4 linked regions of the Drosophila melanogaster genome follow. The protein of the gene in region 2 interacts with the protein of the main gene of each other region in a pairwise test. Each region holds a gene or a part of one and is shown on either strand. Other genes may lie near its edges.

Region 1 (4,874 bases), on a different chromosome or scaffold from region 2:
AGAGAAAAGCGACAGAAGACGGAGGGAGAAAGAGATAGAGAGCGAGAACATTACAACGTCAGCGTCGACGATTTTTGCACGTCTCTGTTTATATTACATTCTGCGGCCCTTTTTTCGTGTGCTTTTTGCGCTTTTTTTTCTCGCCGTTTTTTGTTATTGCCATTGCGACTGTTACGTACGTGCATGTAAACGAACACGTAGTTGTGTGCGCGTGTGTGTCTGCGCGGTACATGCACATGTATATTCCCTATATGTATATTGGCATGTGCGCATGCCTTTTAATGGCAAGGGTTAGCAGCCCCTTTTTTCCACAGAGGGTTGCAAAATGCGTTTATACGCTTCTTTTTCTGTTTGAATGTACATGCATGCATGTGCACGTATGCGTGTATGTGTGAGTTATACATACGCATTGGGTGGCGATAAGGACGCGCTGATAAGCAAATGAGTTATCTAATCTCCAACACAACGCTCCTTATCATCCATGCAAACGTAAATGTGTACGTGCATATACATGAGAAGCGCAGTCTTCTTCTAGCTCGCCTTCCAGTAAGGAGAGATAAGGAGCAGGCAATCACGCCGTTTCACTCTGCCCTGAATAAGCGGTATGTGTGCCACTATATCGCCGCCTCTCTTCCTCCCACTCCCCCACCACGACCTTCCACCCACATCCAGGCTAGAGCGAGGCAGAAACAGTGCTCTGTATCCCGCGATCACGGCTCATATTAAAAAAAAAAAGGCGGGGGATTGGTAAGAAACGGTAAACAAATACAGTGGCCGCCAACTTTTTCAAACTTAGGATTTAAGCAAATTTCCTATGTTTCCGGAGGATAAAATAGTGTTTAATTTTATCCAGCAAATCTTAGATTGAAATTAGCAAAAAAAAATTTCCTCTAACTCACTTGTTTGTTTAAACAAGTTTTTATTTTTGTTTGACATTGGCTATCAAAGCAAACTGAAATATCACCCCTCGAAGAGTTTTGTATTTGAAATATTTTGATAAAATATACTTTAGAAGATATCAAGTGTTCACTGTGGCTGGGAAACAACATCCCCCTGGTCACTCCATTTTTTAATCCATATCGCGTATTTCCCACTGGCGATTCGATCCGATCGCTATAAGTGATAAGAAATCCATCACTGATAGGGGATTATCCCAAATCTGTTTTCCACCACGATAGATAGTGTTTTGTACTATCATTTATAAAGCCAAATATTTATCAACGCGGCACTTTTGAGACTCTGATCACTTTACTCTAATTATTATGAAAGGTAGTTTTCAAGGTAGTTGAAACTACTCCTGCTTTTCCCGAATCCCTACTGCAAATGAAAAATTTTCCCATTACTTGCTGCAGCAAAGTTCTTTCTATTGGGTAACCACTGTGCCAAGTATTTTGAATGATCTATGTCATGTTTGCTCACCTGCTTTGAAGGTCGATGCATCGAAACTGGGCGCTCTGACCGGCTGCTGCTTATCACGGAGTCCGCTAAGCTGACGCTCGGGCACATAGCTGACCGCCGCTGGCAGGGATTCGCCACGCGTCAATGGCGGTCTGCCGCCCACGCCACTTGGATCGTCCATGGCGCTGCGCTTGATGCCGGGCGGACAACCGCCGGATACGCCTCCGCCGGCGGATAGGGAGTTGCCAGCACTGCCATCTGGCGCCAGGCCGTGTCCCGACTGCTGTTGCTGCTGGCTTACATCCACATCGACATCCTCGCTGGGCGGACGCTTTAAATTCACGGATAGGGCGGGCGGTAGGCTGCCACCGCCACTGCCGGCGGTGGGTACGCCGCCGCCGGGTGCACCGCCACCGCCGCGGGTCGCATTTGGCGGCAGGTGGTGGGGCGTCATGTGTGAAATGCGTACGGGTCGTACGCCGCCACCGGGGGCATCCTCCAGCTTAACGGGATAGTCCAGTGGCGGACCGATGCGTGGCACTGGCATTTGATAGGGCATCTGATGGTGATGATGCACTGCAGCAGCGGCGGCGGCAGCAGCAACGGCATTGCCCAGCGAACTGAGCGAACCGGCGCCCGACGGACCTGGACCACCACTTCCGGGCGGAGCACCCGGTGGACCGCCGCCACCTCCGCCGCGATGGGAACCCGGTCCTTGTCCCGGAACTGGACCGACTTGTAACTGTTGTTGCTGCTGTAGGACGACGGCGGCCGCTGCAGCGGCGGACACTTCGCCGTTCTCATGGGAACGCTGCTGTTTGCTGGCGGGATGGAGACGCTTCATTTGGCGGGCGGCGTCCAGCACCGCCTCGATGCGATCGGCGCCCTCATAGTTGACGCAACCGCGGCACACCGCCTCCGAGAAGTCATTGATCATCGCCCAGGGCATGCGGGGTAAATCGCACAGATAGCAGTGCTGCCTTTTCGTTTGCAGCGACATCCTGCTGCGTTTCTGGAAACTGTCAACTGGCAACTAGCAACTGTCAACTGTCAATTGGCAACTGTCAATTGGAAGCCCTGGATGGGCTGGATCTGGAAATGGGTTTGTGCTGTTTTAGCTCACTGGAATGGCTAACTGTTCCTTCCTGCTGGATTCCCAATTCCTATTATTTATTATTTTCTCCTTTTTTTTCGCTTTCTTTTTTCTTGTTTCAGCTTCTTTTCGGTTGTGCGTTGTAGCTATTTTTCTTATTTAGCATTTGTTATTCATGTTTTCGTATTGATTTTCGCACACACGCACATATACACGCGCGCACGCACGCATATTTCACCGCGCTTCCACCCGAAAAAAATTCACTTATGTTTTTTCCTTCAGCTTCAGCTTCTTCTTCTTCTTCTTTTCTATTGTGCTGCGCCGCGCTGCTCGCCAACACGCACGCACACAGGCACACACACCACACACCACACTTAGGCACGCGCGCCGCAGAGTGAAAGAGAGAGGGTGCGCGCGAGTAAGCGGGACACGTAAATGTACGACGACGCCAAAAACGTGTAGGAACAAAACGAACGATGAGATCGCAGCGACGCAACGAATGACTGAAAAAGCGACCGGACGCCACACAGCTTGCTGATAGAGTGTGGCCTTGGCTGGTATGTGAGAATATACCCCAGGGGCCAAGCGAAATGTACTAAAAAATCTTCGCTGCCGCAATGGGAAATACCAAGAAAATACCTGAAATACTGGCTTATATCAGAGACACGAACCTTTCAGTGGACTTCAACCAGGGTTGCCAAAGTGGCTGAGACTGTAGCGAAGACTTCAACCATGATAAAGCTAAGGAAATTTTAAATTTTCTTTAAAATTTAGCATCATTTTGAGCATAGTAATTCTACTATTTCGTATTAATATATATAGCTTTTAATATATTGCTCCTAATATTACGCCCAAATATTAAAAATAAACCCTTTTGGCTGTTTAAGTAATTAAAAATAATATTTATTTTTATTTTTAACCCCCTTTGGGGCTACGACCCTGCCAGCGTACGTGCCTGCACGTCATATTCACGAAACGGAATCTAGTGACGAAGTCCTTCCCCCAAAGTCCGCCTGTAAGTATACCATGTAAAGTTCGTGGATACACATCCGTTTTTCGTATAGATACCGAACGTATGTACATAGGATACAGTTATGTAGACCTTGAATCTGGTATGCTCCGTCTCTTTCGCTCGGCGAACAGCTGACTTAACAGAGCTCTGTAACTGTTAATGAAATTAAAAGCCCTCATTCCTAGCAAAAAAAAAAAAAAAAACAAGGACATCCGTAAAGCACTGCGCAGGACCACAAACTGCAAGCATGTATGTGTATGCATATCGTTGCATATATGTACATATGTATAGGCGAAAATGCTTGGGTGTTCGTATTCCTGGCGTTTGGCCTGAATCGATTTCCCGACCATGGTCTGGGACAAATTCCGTATCTGTGCGTACATCCTGTTAAAAGGAAATGCGGAAAAAGGAGCCACCAGATACAGAAACACACGAACAAGCAACGACCTCGTAAACGGGGTCCTTTCCTTACACCCCCACCTTTCCATACAGTCCCGGCCATAAGTTTATGTCCGTGCACGCGCAACTGTACTCGCTTCTTAACATTTCATTTGAGATTTTATTTATGAAATGTTTGGCTCAATTAAAGATATAAAAATATTCTTTAAATTGCCACAAAATTAAAATTCCACAATAAAGACACTAGAAAGTTTAAAAGTTTTTTTTTAATTTCCTCTTTTATTAACAAAAAATGTTTTAAGATTAAAATCAAAAGAGAATCTACGAACTACGTTTATACACAAGCTTTATTTGTAATTACAGACCTTTCGACTCCCGAATAAGTAGGCAACAAAAACTGCATTAGTTATAAACTTATTTACAAGTGGGTAGAAAATGTTGCTATACTGATTATATATGTTCAACTGTTAAAAGGCATAAAGAATTGAATCGAAAATTCTATAAGCGTTACTCAATTTTCGAAAAGCAGGCGTATAAACGTAGTTACAAGGTGGTGTGGGGTCAAAATACAACACATTAAATTAGCTGCATATAAAAAATATCGCACATATTTGTTGTATATAGATAGTTAAATGCTAGATCGGTTCGGCGCGGCCACTGTTCTACTGGCATACGTCCGTATAACAAGGGCCCGACTCAAATGTCTTATGTAAGCAGTTAATTGCAAGCGTTTCGATCCTATATGTATATAGGTTTAGGTATATAATGGCTATATAAAGTACACAGTATAACAGTATTAGGCTTGAGCGTGTGCGTTTCATTTGTATAACAGTTAGCGTGTGTGTGTGTTTGTATGTCTGTTCGTATCAATTACAACTAAAATTGCCTTTGAGCAAAAACATTCTTATATATTTAGTTATAGGAGTTAGACTTATTCTCGTCAATACAAAAAAGTTTGTTTCTTAGCATTGT
Region 2 (5,639 bases):
AAACTGGGTGGTGCTAGTTGTGCGGTATCAGTGGTGGTTTAGATGGTTGTTCTGGGTGGTGCGGCATTTGACCTGAGACTGGGAAATATGCAACAGAGTTTAAAGTAAATGGATGCGAAGCCCCAAAACTGGATGGCCTTTTAATTAACATGACAAAACATCAGAAAAATCATTAAATGTGGAATTTTATCTTCAGGATGAAGATGAATTTTCAATTCCAACTTTAAATACAATAAGTTCGATTGAATTTAAATCTAATAAGCCTAAAAAGTGTTTTAATTTTTGTCTAGGAGCCTTAGCAAATTTTGAAATATTTTAACAGAAATCATTGATTAAATTAAAAAAGTAACTAATTTATATATATATGTTGAAAAATGTAAAGCGAAATATTTATCTAATTATTTAGGGCTGCGCTTTTTACCAACAAAATTTAAAAGCTTATCTCAAGAAGTAAGTTAACATTGCATCCTGGGGCTTTGATTTTAAATTCTTAATACCACAATCCCACCACCAGTTCCAAACACTTCAAATTGTGATCAAATACATTTTTGCAGTTTATTTGTCTGTTTGCATGTTCATATAAAATATAGATCTATATCTGGTCAGATACATAAAGATTACAACTGTTATTTACAACATACTCATACAGCGTTTCTCAATCGAAGTAACAGGAGGATAAAGATATAGATAAAAAATGAGGGAAAATCCTAGTACAGAGAGAAGTATGTAGGTAGGTAGGTAGAGATGTGTGTGCTGTGACTGGATCGAAAATCCAAATCGGTCAAAACCCAGCGGGCAAGGAAGGCTTCTAACGAAGCACTTCAATCTCCCGTGTGTAGTAGCTTTCAGTTTTCCGTGTGTTTTTGTGACAGAGGTTAAGAAATAGAAGCAGTAATAGAACAGATAAATGTATAGAAAGACAGAGAGTTGCGAATGCTGTATAAAAGTGGCACTGGCGAGCGAATACGCAATGCAACGTTACGCATACGCCACGCTGGCTTCGGTAGTCGGTTAGTCAGAGTGTATAGAGATGCTCGTCGTCGATCGGAAGTTAAACTTCTCTCAAGTGCCGACCACTCGTCACTTAATAGTGGTCATAGTGCGCGTGGTACTGGCCATCATCCTCGTGTCCATTGCCACCGTAGTAGCTACCATGGCTGGCGGGAGCTCCATGTCCGGCGGCGGCCAACGCATTCAGATGCGCGGCACGGGCGTGCTGCACCTCGGCAGGCTCCACGGGCACTCCGTTGTGGATGACCGGGATGTGGATGGGTCCCTTGTGCGCATAGCCGGAGGCGTAACTGTTGTGGCTGCTGTGGCTCTGTTCCCAGCGTCCGTCGTAGCTGCCATCATCCCAGGATCCATGCGAGGCTCCTCCGTGGGCGGAGGCCTGGGACAGGGCGGCGTAGTGGGCGGCCTTGGCATGCTGCACCTCGGGCGTATCGACGGGTACTCCATTGTGGATTACCGGCACGTGATAGCCACCGTGGTTAATGGGGGAAACGGCATGTCCAGAACGGGCGGCAGCATGGGCGGCAAAGTGCGCAGCCTTGGCGTGCTGCACCTCGGGTGTCTCAACGGGAGCACCGTGGGCATGAGCTACATGGCCAAGGGCTTTGGCGTGGGCGGCATAGTGCTCGGCCTTGGCGGCCTGCACATCGGGAGTATCAACGGGCACACCTCCATGAGTCAGCGGCACATGGGCGGCTTGTCCGTAGGCCCATCCTCCGCCGTAAATAGACCGCTTGTACAGGTGGTGTCCTCCGGCATTGTGGGCGGCAGCAGCGTGGGCAGCGGCATGGGCGGCCTTGGCGTGCTGCACTTCGGGAGTATCGACGGGGACGCCTCCGTGGGTCAGCACCGGGATGTGGATGGGTCCGTGGGCGTAAGGAGCATAGGCGCCATGGGCGTGGGCGGCAGCGTAAACGGGAGCGGCATGAACTTGAGGAGCCTGAGGCAGGTTGGTGCCCACGGCGTTGAAGCCATGGTGCGGATCAGCGGTGTAGGACACCGACTGCACATGACCGTGACCATCCACGTAGGAGTAGGAGCCGTGCGTGGTGCCGTCATGGCTTCGCGTCTCGTGCTTCTGTGAGTTGGGATCGGCGTATCCGTAGGAGTAGGTGTGGCTGTGCGGGTCCAGGTGCTGGTACTGTGTGGAGACGGCTCCGTGCCAAGAGGCGGACACCGTCGAGATCAGCAACGCTGCGGCAATAAACTAAATAAAAATGGGAAATTATTTTTTGTAATTTTGATGTAGCTGATAAAAAAAACTAACAAATTTCAATATAGCTTTACAGAACTGATTTTTATATATTAAATATATATATAATAATAATTAAAAATCTTTTTGATTTTGCCTATGTTGAATTCCGATTAGAGAACTTTTGTACCTTCATCTCTTTGAATATTTCAAATTATTTAACATATAGCTTCTACATGTTTCTCACAGTGCAGAAGGTGTTAGGCGTGGGATTATGTGACTGCTCAATAATTACTCGTGCGGTAGCCACCGCCCAAAATCGTTAATCGCAGGTGTCACTCAGTGGAAGCTTATAAGCCGCCTCTGCTAACCTAATTACAGGCTTTTCGCTTTTCTTGCTCTTGCGCCAGCGTTTTCCTCTCGCTTTTCTTGCCCCACACGCCCATCTTTTCGCTTTTCTCCTGGACTCGCTTCTCCTCTGGATTCGCTTTTCCAATGGTTTCGCTTTTCAGAGCCGCGAAGCGCAACCGTTAGATTTGATTCCGAGATATGTAGTCAGTAGTCGGTCGGTCGGCCAATATTCGTTCGAAGATATTACCGCATGCGGCGCGATTATGTACGATATTATGTGTCAGCAGGTGAGTGGGGCAGAAAGTGGTGGAAAAACGGTTGAATAAACTGTCCGACATGCAACATGTCAGCGGCTTATCAACGGGATTTCGCACGGAGTTCCATGGCAGCTGATGGTTTGCTGGGTGGTACGTTTAGCATGACGTGCCATGGTAATTGACTCTCGGATGGAACTGAACGATGCACAGGTGCCATTTCGTTCGGAGCGGAATTTAAGCGAAATAAATTGAGTTTACAAAAGCAATGTCAGTTGAATTTTAAATTAATTGCGCTATGACAGATTAAAAGAATGCCAGGAATTCATTCAAACTTAATGGCAAGTCACTGTCAAACTAGTGTTTACTTTTCGAACGGCTGACAAAATCCAATTTAAAGATTTGGTATGCCACACTTCTCTCTTGATACCGATTAACATATCCCAAAGATCGAAAATGAAAAAGCAGTTCTAACTAGCGAAACCTGGCTGTGGACTTACATAGTTCCATTAAACTACGATTTTAATGAACTTAAGCATTTCATGATAGAATCAATCAATTAAATGAACTTTTGCCCACTTTTATGGTAAAATTTTGTAACTTTAAGAAAAATAAATTACATGCAGAGACGTTAATCACTAATTTGTAGAACAGAAAAAGTTAGAAATGTATCTCAGTAATTCAAGCACGGAATCCAAATATCCTTTTCTCCTCACGGTAATCTACACACTCCAACTCATATTATTTATAACTTTAATCCTCTTGCTCGGCGTTATCCTTTCGATCCCATGGCGCATACTTACGAATGGCTTCATTTTAGCTATGATCACACGATTGAGCTTCGAAAAGGAGTTTCGGGGACACACTGCGGATGAACGGAAAACTAACTACACACGACACACGGGCACAGGCACTGGTCGCTGGACGCTGGTTGAACCTCCTAGAACCACGACTAGGACTGTTAACGAACTGTGCTGACTGCTGGCTGGCGGCCCTAATATATACCGCCCGAGACCAGCGAGCCCGGAGACTGGGGATTGGGGAGCAGAGACACTGCAGCCGAGACTCCGGCTGAGACGCCGGCGCATGCGCAACATTGGTAACAGCAGCGAAAACACCGCAACACCAGCAATATCGGGCGTTCAACAAAAGCCAACAAAAGCCAACGAGAGCAAGAGCAGAACAATGTGTGGTACCAGTTCCAGAGTAATCGAATTACCACTTTAATCGGGGCTCGAAGCGGGGTTTGGCCAGAGCCGAAGTGGATATCGCAGCCGAAGAATGTGTATCAATCGCTTGCAGTGGAGTGCCGCTGCAGCATGTTGCTGGCCTGCAGTTGCACTGGCAACATGTTGCTCGTGCGTTTCCGCGCTGCGTTTGTCACTGTGGAAAAAATCACAGCTGCCATGACCTTGCTTTCAACGCGATTTAATTGCCGGTATTGGTTTCAACCTGGCTTCAACATTAGGCGATTAATGTATTTTATTTGGTGTTGTTTCGGGTGCTAGTTCTTTGACTTCCGCGGTGCGGACAATTAGCACTCATTATTTGGCCACGGGATTAGGCCGATCTTATCGATCAGTGCCTTTCCAAAAAACGCCCAAGAGCCCCGCCCCAAGCGCAACGCTCGATCAAATTAAAAAATTCTTACCCACCGCTTGCAACATGCCCCAATGGTGGCCATAACGAAATGTGAGCTGGCCAATTTCTGGGCGTTTGCCTCTTTAATCATTGAACTGCATCGGAAAACGAAACGAAAACTTTGCAAATTAAAAAAAAAGGAGAAACAAGAGCACTGCCCAAAGAAGCAAGCGGAAAACAAAAGACAGCAAAATGGATTTTCTATTCACTTTTGGCCACCGCTGTTGCCACATGTTGCAGCATTTCTTTGCTGTCCGCTAATCTAGATGTTGCACTCCCAAATGCACTCATGCACTCGGAAAATCAAAATTATTTAACTTAGAATGAGCTATCCTTAACTAAGAATAATCCCTAAGAAGAGAAAATGATATTCGTCGAATGCTAGGTGAGTGAACGATTTCGAAAGAAATGCTGTTGTAACTAATTTTTGTATGTATCTTAGTTGAATATCCCAACTTCTTAACAATTATTGAGTATCTTAGTTATTAAAGAGAAGAGATGATTTTTTTTCCCCAAAATGTTATTATTTTTTTATAGCTCAGTTAAACATATAAATATATATATATACATAAAGAAATAAATATAATTTAATGTAATGAATTTCGATTCCGTATCCGAAATCCGATTGCATTTTTTCTGCAAGTGCAGCAGTGAGCCTCTCTTGTCCGTTGCAATATAATGAGTGCTTGCACCCTGGCTAACTTTGATTATTTGCATTCGATAAGCGAAATCGGGAGGGCGGTTGGCTATATGCGCCTATATACTCGTTTATAGTCTATATGGCACACTCCATATTCTTGAGTTCGTATCGGCAACTTAATTTGTTTGCCTTTGCCTGCCACCAATTTAATTTGAATAAACCAAACCAACTTCAAACTGCTCTTTTGAACCCGCATGTGCTGTTGTTGTTGTTTTTATGCGCGGGCGGGCGATCGGTTTGGGGCGTGTTTGACATTTTTGCGGTATGCGCAACATTATAAATTATATTTTTTGCCGGTGCCACTTTTGTTTTCATTTTATTAGCTCGGCCCACTGTCGACAGCTGTGGGCCGACTGCCTGAATGAATGCCTCGACTGGCTCAAGTGCAATCCACACATTTGTGGATTTGTCGAGGTGCCCACCTTCAGCCACCTTCAGCTTCAGCTCCAACCCGACCCGATCCAATCCAGCTCCATTTGCGAACGGCGTC
Region 3 (4,633 bases), on a different chromosome or scaffold from region 2:
TGTGTGCATGCAAAACAAAGTTGCGCCATGCCAATGGTCGTACATGCTCGTATAAAGTGTTCAGGTTACAGTCAAAGACCTAGCGAAGTAATTTAATGACGATCTTCCGCGTGCGCCAAAACTTTCGCACGGTAAGCATTGACACTGCCTGCGGTAAAAAAGAGACGAAATGATTAGGTCGAGGCGTGACCACCATACTAATGGTTTAACTGGCATTGAAACTGAATTATGATTAAAACCCCTTTGTTATACTATTCATTAAACACGCGCTTAAACAAATGTTCTTGCAAATGTTCAACTTTCGCCATTGGCCTCGTCCGCCTCAAACCTTTTTCTTTCAGCCATCGACATTCGCATTAAACCAGTAGTACATCAAATGTTTTAACACAAATTTCCTAGCAATTACGCATGAAAATATTTCCATGGCGGCATATCTAAGGTTTTACCCAAATATATATTTCTGTGGCTTAAAAAAACACCACTCAAAACACTGAGAAAGTTCATCAAAATGGAAAGTGTTGCCACTATGCCTAAACCAAGTCATGCAAGTCTTCATACCCTTGCGGAGGGTACATTCACTTAAGTCAGAAATTTCAAAGCTGTGAAGGACACAATTGTGCCCATATATGGTATATATATTTCTTGCTAAGTATCAACGACCGAATCGGTATAGCAGATAGATTATAAATTGTTTAAAAGAGGACGATCGGACAGCCGGGCTTGGCTATTTCAAGTTCGCTGTTTTTACTAATATGTTATGAATAAGATACATATATGCACTTTATAAGGCCACAAAGGTAATACAAAAAATCTATCTCAAAACAATTTAGCCGTCTAATGCTGTTATTATAATTTTAATAGTGTTAATCCTTACCACGTTATCTAAGCAATTTTCGTAGTTCCCAATTTGTTTTCTCAAATTTTGCATATATATCATTCATAAAAAATGTCTGAACAATTAAGCAAACTGTTTTAAAAATTATCAACAGTTATTATAGCCACAATTTGCTCGGTTACACCGATACACTCACTCACTTAGTGAACCTATTCAATCGAGTCAGCGAGCTGTATGCAATTAATATCTGTGTCATAAGCTGCTTGGTTGGCTGCTGGCTGATAACTTACATAATTCCATTACCATTACCCAGCAGTATGGTGAGTAGACAGCCCAAGTGACCAATAGTTGGACACGGTAAGGCTTGTTATGGTCGAAATGCTTGATTATGTTATTGTTCGCTGGTAAATAGAGCAGTTGATCAGACCATGTATTTACCTCCATACATACCCTAATGTAAATACTCTTACTTTTTATATATCCTAACACATTTCGCAGTAAAATGTCTTAATATATATATATATATATATATATTAAAATAAATATACATTTTTGGACATATTAAGAAACTCGTTTAGCCGGAGCCGGAGTATCCACAATAGAGCTCAACACAAGTGGTTAACAGCTGGTGGTTTGACTTCTTCTACGGTGATTGAATTTGACATTAGACTATTGCGAGCTCGTACATGGCAGCCGGAACAGTGTTCAAAACAAGTTTGGCTTTATTTGCGGAACATAATATTTCTATCACGAAGTTTCGAATATGATTGAGGAAAAGAAGAATCCATAGTACTGTAAAAACAATTCACTTAAAAATAAAACTTTTTCGGATCTACGTTTAAAAAAAGATTTCAGTTCATACATGAACTGAATACTTATCCATGGTTGTCTTAAAATCTGGTTAAGTGCTAACTCTTCTAGGACTAGTGGGTAAAGTGTGTAAGCCCTTTGCTCTTTTAAGTTTTTGCCTCCATTTGTATTTCTAGCAGAGTGTTCTTCACTGAAGTGGGCATTACTCACCTGTTTTAAAAAGCAGTAGGCACAATCCCAGCAGGCACAGAATGTTTATTCGACTTGTTGAATACTTCATATTGCAGGTATGGCGTGTCGTCGTAACTGTAACTGTAAATTTTCTTGATGTGGTTGGTTCAGTTTCGTTTTGGGGTTAGTTCACAGAATTTAAAATACCATAGGCAAGCTCGGATAAAAATAGTGGTTGGAAGCGCGGGAAGTGGGGAGCAGCAGCAGCCACCGTACCGATGACGGAGGCAGTTACCGTTGAGAAAACCTCTGTTTTGTTGAAAACAATTGCTAAATAACTAAGAAGGCAGTGTCGCAATTTTTCAATTTAGATTTTTTGAGCCTTGTGTTACAGTTTTCTTAATGGTGTGTCTGGCTTATGCCGCGACTGCGGCTTTGTGGCTGTGCCTTCACTTGGTTAGGACATGTTTGTATTGTTGTAAGCAGATTTAGTTTCTGCCCCTATTATTCGAGCTTTCGTTTGGCTTTAACCAACGCGACGATGCATAGCTAACACACACGTTTACAGATTACAACACTTAGTTTTCCTCCATTGCTTTTGGCAAGCGATTTTTAGTTAGGTTTTTTAGTTTCTTTCACGTGAGACTGCAATGACCGCTGTTCGTTTTGTAGTTACCATGGAAAAGATTGCTAGACAAAAATGCAAAGAGATCAAATCGAAGATCGGTGTTTGATTTAGATTTCCCGTACGGTATCGCGGGCACCTCCATATTGGAAAACTCTGTATGAACTAGTCTGTAGCGCGTAGAGGAAAATGCGAAACAAAATAAAACAAAACCTGCACGTTTTTATTTTGTTTGTCGAAGCTTGTATATATATTTAGCGTAAACTTTCTTTTTAACGCAAAGTTAGCTTACCACCGACACACACGCTTGAGCTCTTCGACTAAACTGCAAAATGCAGTTAAAACTGCTTTCTACAAAATGTTAAATTTTTGGCTGGTTGCAATGTCCAGTCAGAGGTGGACTTTATTTCGACGCGTTTACGAAATAAATTAGCAATCGAAAGCCCAAAAATTGATTGTGGCTTATTGCAAACAGTTTAGACCGCCTGACAAGTTCGGGTGACCCTCGAGCGTCTCTGCTTACCGTGCGCTTAAGCGAACCACACGTCCTAATCGAAACAACTATACAGCGCGACTGTGCGGACGAGTGTCTTGAGACTCTGGGCAAGCGCAGCCAGCCAACCAAGTTTCGAAGTCTGGCTTTTGGGCCAAGCTTGGTCTGCGCCACGCTTGGCCCCGACTGTTACTTTACATTAACAGACTGTTCAAGTTGTTGCTGCACCCGCGCGGAGTCGTTTGTATCTCTTAAGCTTTTGAAAGTAAGAGTAAAGTTAACGCTTGCGCCATTGCAGCTTTGCTACGTTTTACAAGTTATACAAGTTATCAGAAAAATGTAGTCCAGACCCATATTCTTAGTGAATTTCAACATTTTACTGAGAATTTCATCCAAAGCTCCCCATCAGTTTCAAGCTATCTACAAGCGGGGAGCGGGCTTTGTTTATTGTTTTCTGAAACTACAACAATATCCACCCTCTAGCCAACGAAGGCTGGGAAACTATTTACCAAGGCGATTGTGAAATGTTGTTACCTTTTTCGTTACATTTTCGTTTAGCAGCAGGTTTCTGGATCGCTCGATAGTGGATTACGGTGCTTAAATTAAAGAATGCTTACTACTTCAACATGGGCTTGGACTTGAATCCATGTCAAGCATGGGATCGAAGGAAGACCACTCAATCACTTTTAGAATTAATACCACCCAGCTGAATTGCCCTTGATAAATTCGATTTATATGCCCAACATATAGCTTTACTCTAAAGTCTAAAGTAAAGTGGCCAATTTCGAACCATAGAATTGAAAGTAAAACCGAGTTGAAAACATGGCAACGACCAAGAACTAGGCCAAAGCAGCCAACCAAAGCCAAGCAAAAGCTGTAAAACAACAGCTGAAGTAAAGGGGTTCTGGTGAACGGCGATGGCTGATGGTTTGAGCAAGGCATGCGAATTAATCTAATTCTTTATTTATTAATTTATTTTTGCTGGATTGTGTTTCACACGATTTTTTCTGTGAATGGAGGGCGAGGTGTTTTGTTGCATTGAATATTTTTGACTTTGTTTAGGAAATTATTTAATTATTTCCGTTACTATATTAAAAAGTGTGTAACGAAGTGTATCTTGAACTAAACGTTTCGGACCATATAAAATATACAAATACTTTATCAAGACCATTGGCAGAGTCGATCAGGCTTGTCCGTCCGTATTAACGTCGAGTTCTCAGGAACTATTAAAGCTAGAAGGTTGAGATTCAGCATACATATTCTAGTGACATGGACGCAGCGCAAGTTTGTTGTCCCATGTTGCCACACCCACTGTAACGACCTCAAGCAACCCGAAACTGCTACGCCCACATTTTTGAAAAATTGTTGCATATTTTTTTGTATATTTTCATCAGTCTTGTAAATTTATATTCATTTGCCAAATCCATTTTTTCCACGCCCACTCTTACGCCCACAGACCGCCCATAGCTATCGTTATACTAAGAACACTTTGGCGGCGTTCCTTCTAATGCCCACAAACCCCCAAAAGCTGCCACGCGCACACTTTTAAAAAGTTTTTGAGATTTTTTTTTATTTTATTATAACCCTTGTAAATTTCTATCGGTATACCAAGAACACTTTGGCCACGTTTGGTAAAACAGGCGATTTGGCAAACTCATTAATGAACCGTAATAACTCCGTTTCCTGAAACAAATATTTC
Region 4 (7,638 bases), on a different chromosome or scaffold from region 2:
TAAGCACGCTGGGCTCGGCGGCCAGATGTCGAAGCAGCTCTGGCTGGGCATTATCGAGTGCACGTTGTTTGAGCACATTATAATTTAGTTATATATTTGAAATATGTTTGTAGCAACCCAATCACTGGGTTTGGTTATTGCTATTACTATTATATTACTGTCGCTCGAGTGTCGCTCACTTGGAGTCGGCGGCTGCCGCATTGCTGGCGGACTTAGTGGCAGCTTTAATGGCGGCCGCCGAAGTGCGCTTCACGCTGACCAAGACATTGCGCTTCGTGGAAGCCGGACCAGGTTTGGTTGCTTTTGCAGTCGGTTTGGGCGTTGCCATCTTTGCCGGCTGGCTGGCAGCAGCGGTGGTCTTGGCCGTTGGTGTGGTTGGAGCAGAGGCAGCATGCTTTTTCTCCGGCGACTTGGCCACCGGCGCGTTTTCTTTCGCAGCTCCCTCATCGGTATCGCCGTTCGCTTCCTCTTTGCCGTCTTTCGCCTTGTTTTTCTCGCTGCAAGTGAATACGTATTACACAACATGCTCATGATTACTGCATCGTCGTTCACATACCTTTCAATGTCAATGTTAAGCACAGACTCGTCCTCTTCATCCTCCTCATCTTCTTTATGACCTCTTGTCTCTACTTCTGCCAGGAGGTCACCCAGATCCTTGTCCACCTCCTCCCACATCTTTTTATCATTGGTCGCATCACCCTCTTCTACTTCTGCATCACCATCATCATCGTACTCGTCGTCATCCTCGTTTAACTTGCCATCGATGTCCTCATCGCCATCGGCGTCATCATCACCGGCCTTTTTGTCATCATCGTGATCGTCCTCATCGCCCTCCTCCGTCTTGTTCTTCTTCTCGGTCTCCTCCTTGTTTCGCAGGAAAGCCTTCACATGGGAGTGCTGCATGCAATGCTTTTTGGTGTAGTCCTCTAACGAGACATCATCAGCCTTGGCGGAATAGTGATTGCACAGCTCGCAGTAGAATGCCTCTATGACCTTTATATAGTCCGGTCCAATCAGAGCGCGTTTGCGAGTCTCCTCATCCTCGCTTTTCAGAGCGGCCTCCGCCTCGGTGACCATGGCATCTACATCGGCGTCGATCATGTCCACATCGATCTCGCCCACCGAGTCTACAGTGTGGAATTTATTCAAATCTATCTCGCGCTCATCCACGCTATCATCCGATCCGGATTCATCGTTGCGGGCCTTGTTCTGTAAGAAAACATACAAAAATTAATTATTTAAAGCTTATTTCAAGATATGAAAGGGAAATTAACAATATAGTAAAGTCCAGAACTGTAAATGAGTTTCGATCCCTTAATGACTCTGACTCACCCTAATGTGATCCAGGGAGCAGCGGTGGTTCTCGTAGAGCATGGCATTCTTGAAGGCCAGATGGCAAGAGCCGCAATAGGGCATTAAGAACTTCTTAATGGTCTTGTGGTGTTCGGAGGCCTGATGAAGATTCTTGGGCTGGCGGTAGGCCAAGCGGCACAGACGACAGTAGCGCGACTCGTGCTCCTCCTTGCTATTCTCCTCGATCTCGCGCTGTGTGGTGCGCTGGCGGGCACGCATACGCTGCAGGTCAGCTCGCTGGTTGAGGGCCACCTGACGCATGGAGTTCTTGTGGGAGCGCGAGTTCAGATGGTAGTTATACTCCTGCGGATCAATGAGGAAATGGTGTTAATTGAATAACTCAAGACTCCAATAAAAGAAACACACCTTAAATGTAACACACTTGATGCGGCAATGGACGCAAATGAGTTTGATGAAGCTGCGTTTGCGGTTGTTGTGGTCCTCATCCCGATGACGGGAGCTACGTCGCTCCTTGCTACGATCATCGCCCGATGATTCCTTGTCTTTGTCCTTGCGAGACGTGCGCTCTTTCTTGGTGGATGATGACTTCTTGGACTTGGAGTCCTTCGCGTCGTCTTTGTCCTTCTTCTTACCTGACTTCTCGACCGATGACTTGGCCTTTTCGTCCGATTTGTCACCATCGCCGTCCTCACCGTCGCCCTTCACCTTGACATCCTCGTCATCGGAGGCGTCATCGGCCTTGGCGCTCTTGGGATCGGACTCATTTAGGTCCTTGTCATCATCGTCATCGCCATCACCGTGCTCATCATCATCATCGTCGTCATCATCGTTACCTTCGGCCTCACTCTTGTCCTCGTTGTTGGCCGACTTGTTGCGTTTTTTACCAGGCGAAGTCTTCTTGCTCTTCTCGTCCTTCTCATCATCGTCTTCTTCATCGTCATCGTCGTCGTCGGATTCATCGCCTCCATCGGCGTCCTTGTCCTTGCCTTTCTTCTTCTTGCTTTTCTCAGCATCTTCGCCGTCCTTGTCCTCTTTGCCGCTGGAATCGTCGCTGGAATTCCCGCCCTGGCGTTGTCGTCGCAACGAGCTACATTTGGGTGGAATGAATTCGAATGTGAAGTCATGTCAGGGTGGCAGGATGGTTTTGTTTTGTTTGGTTGAAGGCAAGTTCAAAATTTTGTGTTTTTTTTTTTTTTTAAGTACATAAGAACAAGCTGGGTGGTAAACTAACAAAATACGTTCTTGTCAAGAAGTGTCGGGTGTCTTTTTTATCGGTACATTTCAATTCGTTCTACTTAGTTACACAACTATATACACATGGATAGTATTTGATCTACGAAGATGGGAGTTTCTCTGGAGGCCGCTTGGATAATCTTGCACCAAGTGCTCTCCTCCCTCCTCCTTTTCGCATTCAGATTTTCGATGCCTCACTGAATCTCACAGTTCGTTCACATTATTATGTCAATCTCACGGATTGCATTCATAGTTCTTTGCGTCCTCAATTGGTGCACAATAGCGTAACTCTGATTTTTGTATATTCATTTGGGTTTTGATTTAATTTGATTTTTTTTTTTTTTTGAAATTTGGTCTATTTACCTTTTCAGCTGCTGAATCTTGAGCAGGCGAGCCCGGTCTTTCTGCTGTGCATAGAGCAGCTGGCGGCGCATGGTGCGCAGGTCATTCGACTCGTTGACCCTGGTGCGCACAACGCGCATTCCTCCCACCCGCATCCCGGTGCGCATCATGCCGCCCCTCATCGACATTGTGCCACGGGGTCGGGATATATAGTTGGTGCCGGCCACGCTACGCATCATCCGCTTCGGAGGACCCATCGATCCGTCCCGCTGATGCCGGCTGCCGCTGGTGGAATCATCGCGTGGGCGGTAGGAGCTCGAGCTCCCGCCGTTATTACCACCACCGCCGGTGCTGCTCCGCTGATGATAGTTCGATGACGAGGAGCCAATGTTCTGCGACGAGGACGAGGGTCGATCGCTGCGATCATTCGACGAGGACGTGCGACGGTAATCCTATTGACGATTGATGAGTAGGAAGGTGTGAAGGAGCTTTGTTTTGGTTGATTTGGTATTGATTTTTGTATCAAATATCAAATATAGTTGGTAGATATAAAACATATTTAGACTTCTTGAATGAAAATAATTGCTATATAGCTACGGACTGATATTGATTCTGATTCTGATCGGATTGGTTGTGGGTTATATAGTTCACAATTGGCTGTTATTATTTTTTATTATTATTTCCTGCAGCGTGTTTTTTGTGTGTGGTAGCATGATGGAGAAAACTTATACGCATATAGCTTAGCTACACAGATTTGAATCGATATTATTATTATAATTCGTATGCGGATGTACACACTGATAGATTTCTATTTGCTCTGCTCGGATTGCTAACCGACCATTGATATTGGATATTCGGTATGGGGAAAAATTTGACAGCTGATGGTACGGTAGAAGGCATACAAGACATACAAGAGTTTACAGATCAAAATCGCTTCAATCGATTCAACAGCTCTCTAAAGAAGTTTTTGCTCTCTCATATCATATACGTGGATCATTTCGGGTCGGTTCAGATCGAATCGGATTGGATCATATCGATCGATCAATCGATCGGTCGCTGGCAAAATCATTATCTATATGGTGCCGCGCCGCTGCCGATGCTATGGACAATATACAGATTTATATAGATTTATGTGGTATATGGTCAGAGGTTCGGTGCTCCAAAGTGCTTGTCTGGCAACTTTGAGTCAGCGCGCTGTTTGCTCATTTGGGACATGTTATGCTTTAACGCTCGATAGGCTCAACTCAGTCCCGCGTTTAAGCTTCACAAACAGTGCTATAAATATTTGGAAAGTCATTAACATTACACAGTACATGGCGATTGGCTTAATGCATAATTAATATGTCGACCTTTGGGTATAGCGTGCTTTCAATAGCATTTAAAATGGGGCAAAGTATAACTTACGTCTTGACGCGGGCGTTTGCGATCATCGCTGCGGTCGCGAGATGAGTCCTAGAAACACAAAACATAAAAATAGATTGCATTATGAATACACATATATATGTATATATATATATAGATGGATTTGGGTAATACATCATTCATTTACTACAAGAGCGACAGACTTGTTATTAATATATATGTAATATGTAACAATTGATCAAAGAGGTAAAAGGTAAAAGAAAACAAAAAAAAGACCGCCAAATATACTCAAGCGTATTTGCCACTGAAAAATATTAAATTAACATCAAACGTATATTTCAAATACTATAATCATTCTTATCTATTTTTTCCACAGAAATAAGTGTGCCGTTTATAAGTACGCACCTGTTCGTAGAATATATACTTTTAAGGTTGAATATAATATATTTATATATATATATTGAATAGTTTTTCATTTGCTTTGCATGTGGAAAAGACGTCAATTCGATATAATCTCTCTTTCTGTCAGATGTATAATTAGGAAAGATAAGTAGTCATCCAATAAGTGTTTACTAGCTTGACCAGAATGTCTGTTATTATCAATTACAAAAGTTGATTGTAAAAGGTTCTTATCTCTGATTTTTCACATGCATTGGTATTCGTCTTATTTACATATAGTGCCAAAAATCTTTTCGCATCCAAATATTACCTACAGTTTCTTATCTCCTTTGGGAGATAATAAGAGGCTGAATGATCAGCATTGCAAAAAAATCGTATCAATATATGTACGTGTTATAAGCGATATCCCTCTATTTTCAGATACACAATGTAGAAAAACCAATGTCAAGGTGGTCTAACTATTATAATTTCAATTTCTACCCTGTCATTATAATCCAAATTGAAATTAATTAGAATGCAGAACAAATCTGGGCATATTTCTGAAGCTATCGTAGTAATTACTCACAAATGGTTACTTATAGGTTAGTGCGAAGTGCTCCAACTTACATAGCTGCGCTTGTGGCTCGAGGAGCTGGACTCGTAGCGCCCGCTGCTCGAGTTGTGGTGAGTGAACTTGTCCCGACTCCTGTTGTCGTAGTGGCTGTTGCCTCCTGCTCCTCCGCCGCTGTTGTTGTGGTTGTTGTAGCGATTGTTGTTGTTGTGATAGTTATTCTCGTAGCGGCCATTATTGGGTCGGTAATTGCCCTGGGTGCGAGTATTAACGTAGTTGCTGGAATTGCGATTATTGTAGTAGCCACCGCGAGTGGTGCCACCACCACGTGGAATGAATCCGCCGCGTCCACGCATCTTTAATTCCAATCTCTTCCTGTTTGCAGCACAAGGAAATACTGTAAGGTTGCGTTGAAAAGATTACAAAATTCGATCCGCATGGCAGACTATATACATGTATGCACAAATGCGTGCAAAATATACATAAGGACAGACTGAGCGTTCAGCGCAGCACCCCTTAAGTTTTTTTTTCTTTTCATGGATTATCTCTGCGCCGCCGGTGGCGTCGCTCGGTTTGAGAAAAAAAGAATCGATTTTCTGCCGGCCCGAGAATTTTTTTGCGATTTTACTGCAAATTGATCTAAGCCACTTACCTCTGCTCTAACACTATTCACTAATGGGCACAATGAAGCACTGCTTTTCTGTCTGTTTTTCAGTTTTAACTGAACGTTTAACTTCTGATTTTCACCTTTTCTATCAGCTACTTTTTTCGCTCGAAACAATTTTTTGTCTAGCAATGGCGAACAAAGTGAAGTGTGACCGTGCTCTGTGGAATCAGTGCTTAAAATCGATTGTTAAGACTTGGCTATATCGATTGTCAACAATGTGGCAATGCTATTTAGCTGAAATAACATTATTAATAACATAATAACATAATAACGAAATAAAAGAAAATTTCTTTGCTTTCTTCAAATATTCTCGAAAACTATGTAAATTTAATTTAATTTCTTAAACAACATTTCTTTAATGAAATCGAATTTGTATCATTTATTTGCAAGCCCCTACCATTGGGGGTTTGAACTCGACTAGAAAGTCTAGAAATATCGTTTGATGCAGTACCATCACTGATAAACGGTGACATCGCTAATAAAGCTGCAAAAAATACAGCTCAGTTCTTATTTTACATAGCAGAAATTTTAAATTGTTTTATACTGGAATTGTGCGATAAGGAAACCTGAAATCAGAGCAGTAAAATGTTCAATGGTTAGCTAATACTGTTGCCAATAAAAAAAATCGCAAACTGACCCACAGAACAATAAGCATTTTATGATTGTCACCATTGATTACGTCGGGCAGCAACGGATAGCGGGAAGGCACGAAAAAACGGGCAGCATTACTGCAATGTAGAGCCATCGGATGATCTGTTCCCTTCCCATTGGCCAAAGATGTGTACTATTGATTTCTTGGCAGCCCATCGAACCACTCGCTCATCCTCACCCACACCCGTGTAACTAACCAACTGGCCATTGTTTTTCTGTCAGGCTCACCGCATCCACATTAGCCAGCTCATCCGATCAGATTGGCCCAGTTCAAAGTACACATTCAGCATCCGCAGCAGCAAATTCCGCACCCTTGAGTCATGGCGTGGATGGCGTTAGGGGCACTAGCCTCCGGTTTCGGTATTCACCCCCCTTTCAATCATTACTGCTCTTCCTCCTCCTGTTCATGTTCATGTCGTGTCACCGTTTAGTAGACTAGTTGAGAATGTATTAATGTGTCTTATGACCAACGCATTCGCCTTATCTAATGACATTGCCTTTCAATTTTGTACGACTACAGTTCTACAGCGCCTGCTGGGTGTCGATCAGCCGGCCAATAAGGTCGTGGAAATTAAGAGCGAAGCGCTGGGGACACTTCAAGTCCTGGCCCGCGATGACGCCATGCTCCTCTTTGCACCGCCCTTCAACAGCAGCAATGAAAAACGAGCCGTCTATGAGATCATTTTGCAGCGACCCACCTCGGATTCCAATACCACATCCTTCAGTCTGTACCGGTCGCCGGTGCAGCAGGAAGCCGAGGAACGCTTCAATGCCTTTCTGCAAAGGCTGCCCGTTTTCGTCAGCATTGTGAAAGAGGTTTGAGAGAGGACTACAAAGCAATGCGAAGCAATGTATTTAACTCTATATTTTTCAGTACTACAATGTAAATGGGCTGCAGAAAGCTTGCGATGCCTTGGCTGATAATCCCTCCTGGACGCTGTCCCATTTGATTGCCTACTTCAATCTGGTGGACTACATTAGCAATCCCAAGATGCTCCAGTGCGTGGACCAAGCAGATGCCGCCACCCTAATGTCGCCCTTCCAGTTGGCCATCAAACAGGGTCACATGGAGATGGTGAAGGCTCTGCTGCCGCTGAGCAAGCTGGAACACTTGGATATA

Evidence for each region.
Region 1: the proteins of Cpr92F (region 2) and Pits interact in a two-hybrid assay, tested with the Drosophila melanogaster proteins (one large-scale study listed by BioGRID).
Region 3: the proteins of Cpr92F (region 2) and Cda5 interact in a two-hybrid assay, tested with the Drosophila melanogaster proteins (one large-scale study listed by BioGRID).
Region 4: the proteins of Cpr92F (region 2) and Ciz1 interact in a two-hybrid assay, tested with the Drosophila melanogaster proteins (one large-scale study listed by BioGRID).

The regions. Positions count from the first base shown.
Region 1 is NC_004354.4:12,580,153-12,585,026, forward strand, and holds the start of Pits (protein interacting with Ttk69 and Sin3A), read right to left. Parts: upstream 3,042-4,874; 5' UTR 2,399-3,041; coding exon 1,420-2,398; intron 1-1,419.
Region 2 is NT_033777.3:20,667,715-20,673,353, reverse strand, and holds Cpr92F (cuticular protein 92F), read right to left. Parts: upstream 3,784-5,639; 5' UTR 3,624-3,783; coding exon 3,612-3,623; intron 2,219-3,611; coding exon 1,085-2,218; 3' UTR 533-1,084; downstream 1-532.
Region 3 is NT_033779.5:56,226-60,858, forward strand, and holds the start of Cda5 (chitin deacetylase-like 5), read right to left. Parts: upstream 3,044-4,633; 5' UTR 2,965-3,043; exon of another isoform or gene 2,734-2,964; intron 2,507-2,733; exon of another isoform or gene 2,024-2,506; intron 1,969-2,023; exon of another isoform or gene 1,958-1,968; 5' UTR 1,926-1,957; coding exon 1,856-1,925; intron 1-1,855.
Region 4 is NT_037436.4:9,863,017-9,870,654, reverse strand, and holds the start of Ciz1 (Ciz1 zinc finger protein), read right to left. Parts: upstream 6,017-7,638; 5' UTR 5,853-6,016; intron 5,598-5,852; 5' UTR 5,557-5,597; coding exon 5,257-5,556; intron 4,342-5,256; coding exon 4,294-4,341; intron 3,342-4,293; coding exon 2,911-3,341; intron 2,402-2,910; coding exon 1,720-2,401; intron 1,657-1,719; coding exon 1,333-1,656; intron 1,210-1,332; coding exon 557-1,209; intron 498-556; coding exon 176-497; 3' UTR 1-175. Other genes in the region: iPLA2-VIA (calcium-independent phospholipase A2 VIA), read left to right, coding at 6,839-6,878, 7,039-7,334, 7,393-7,638.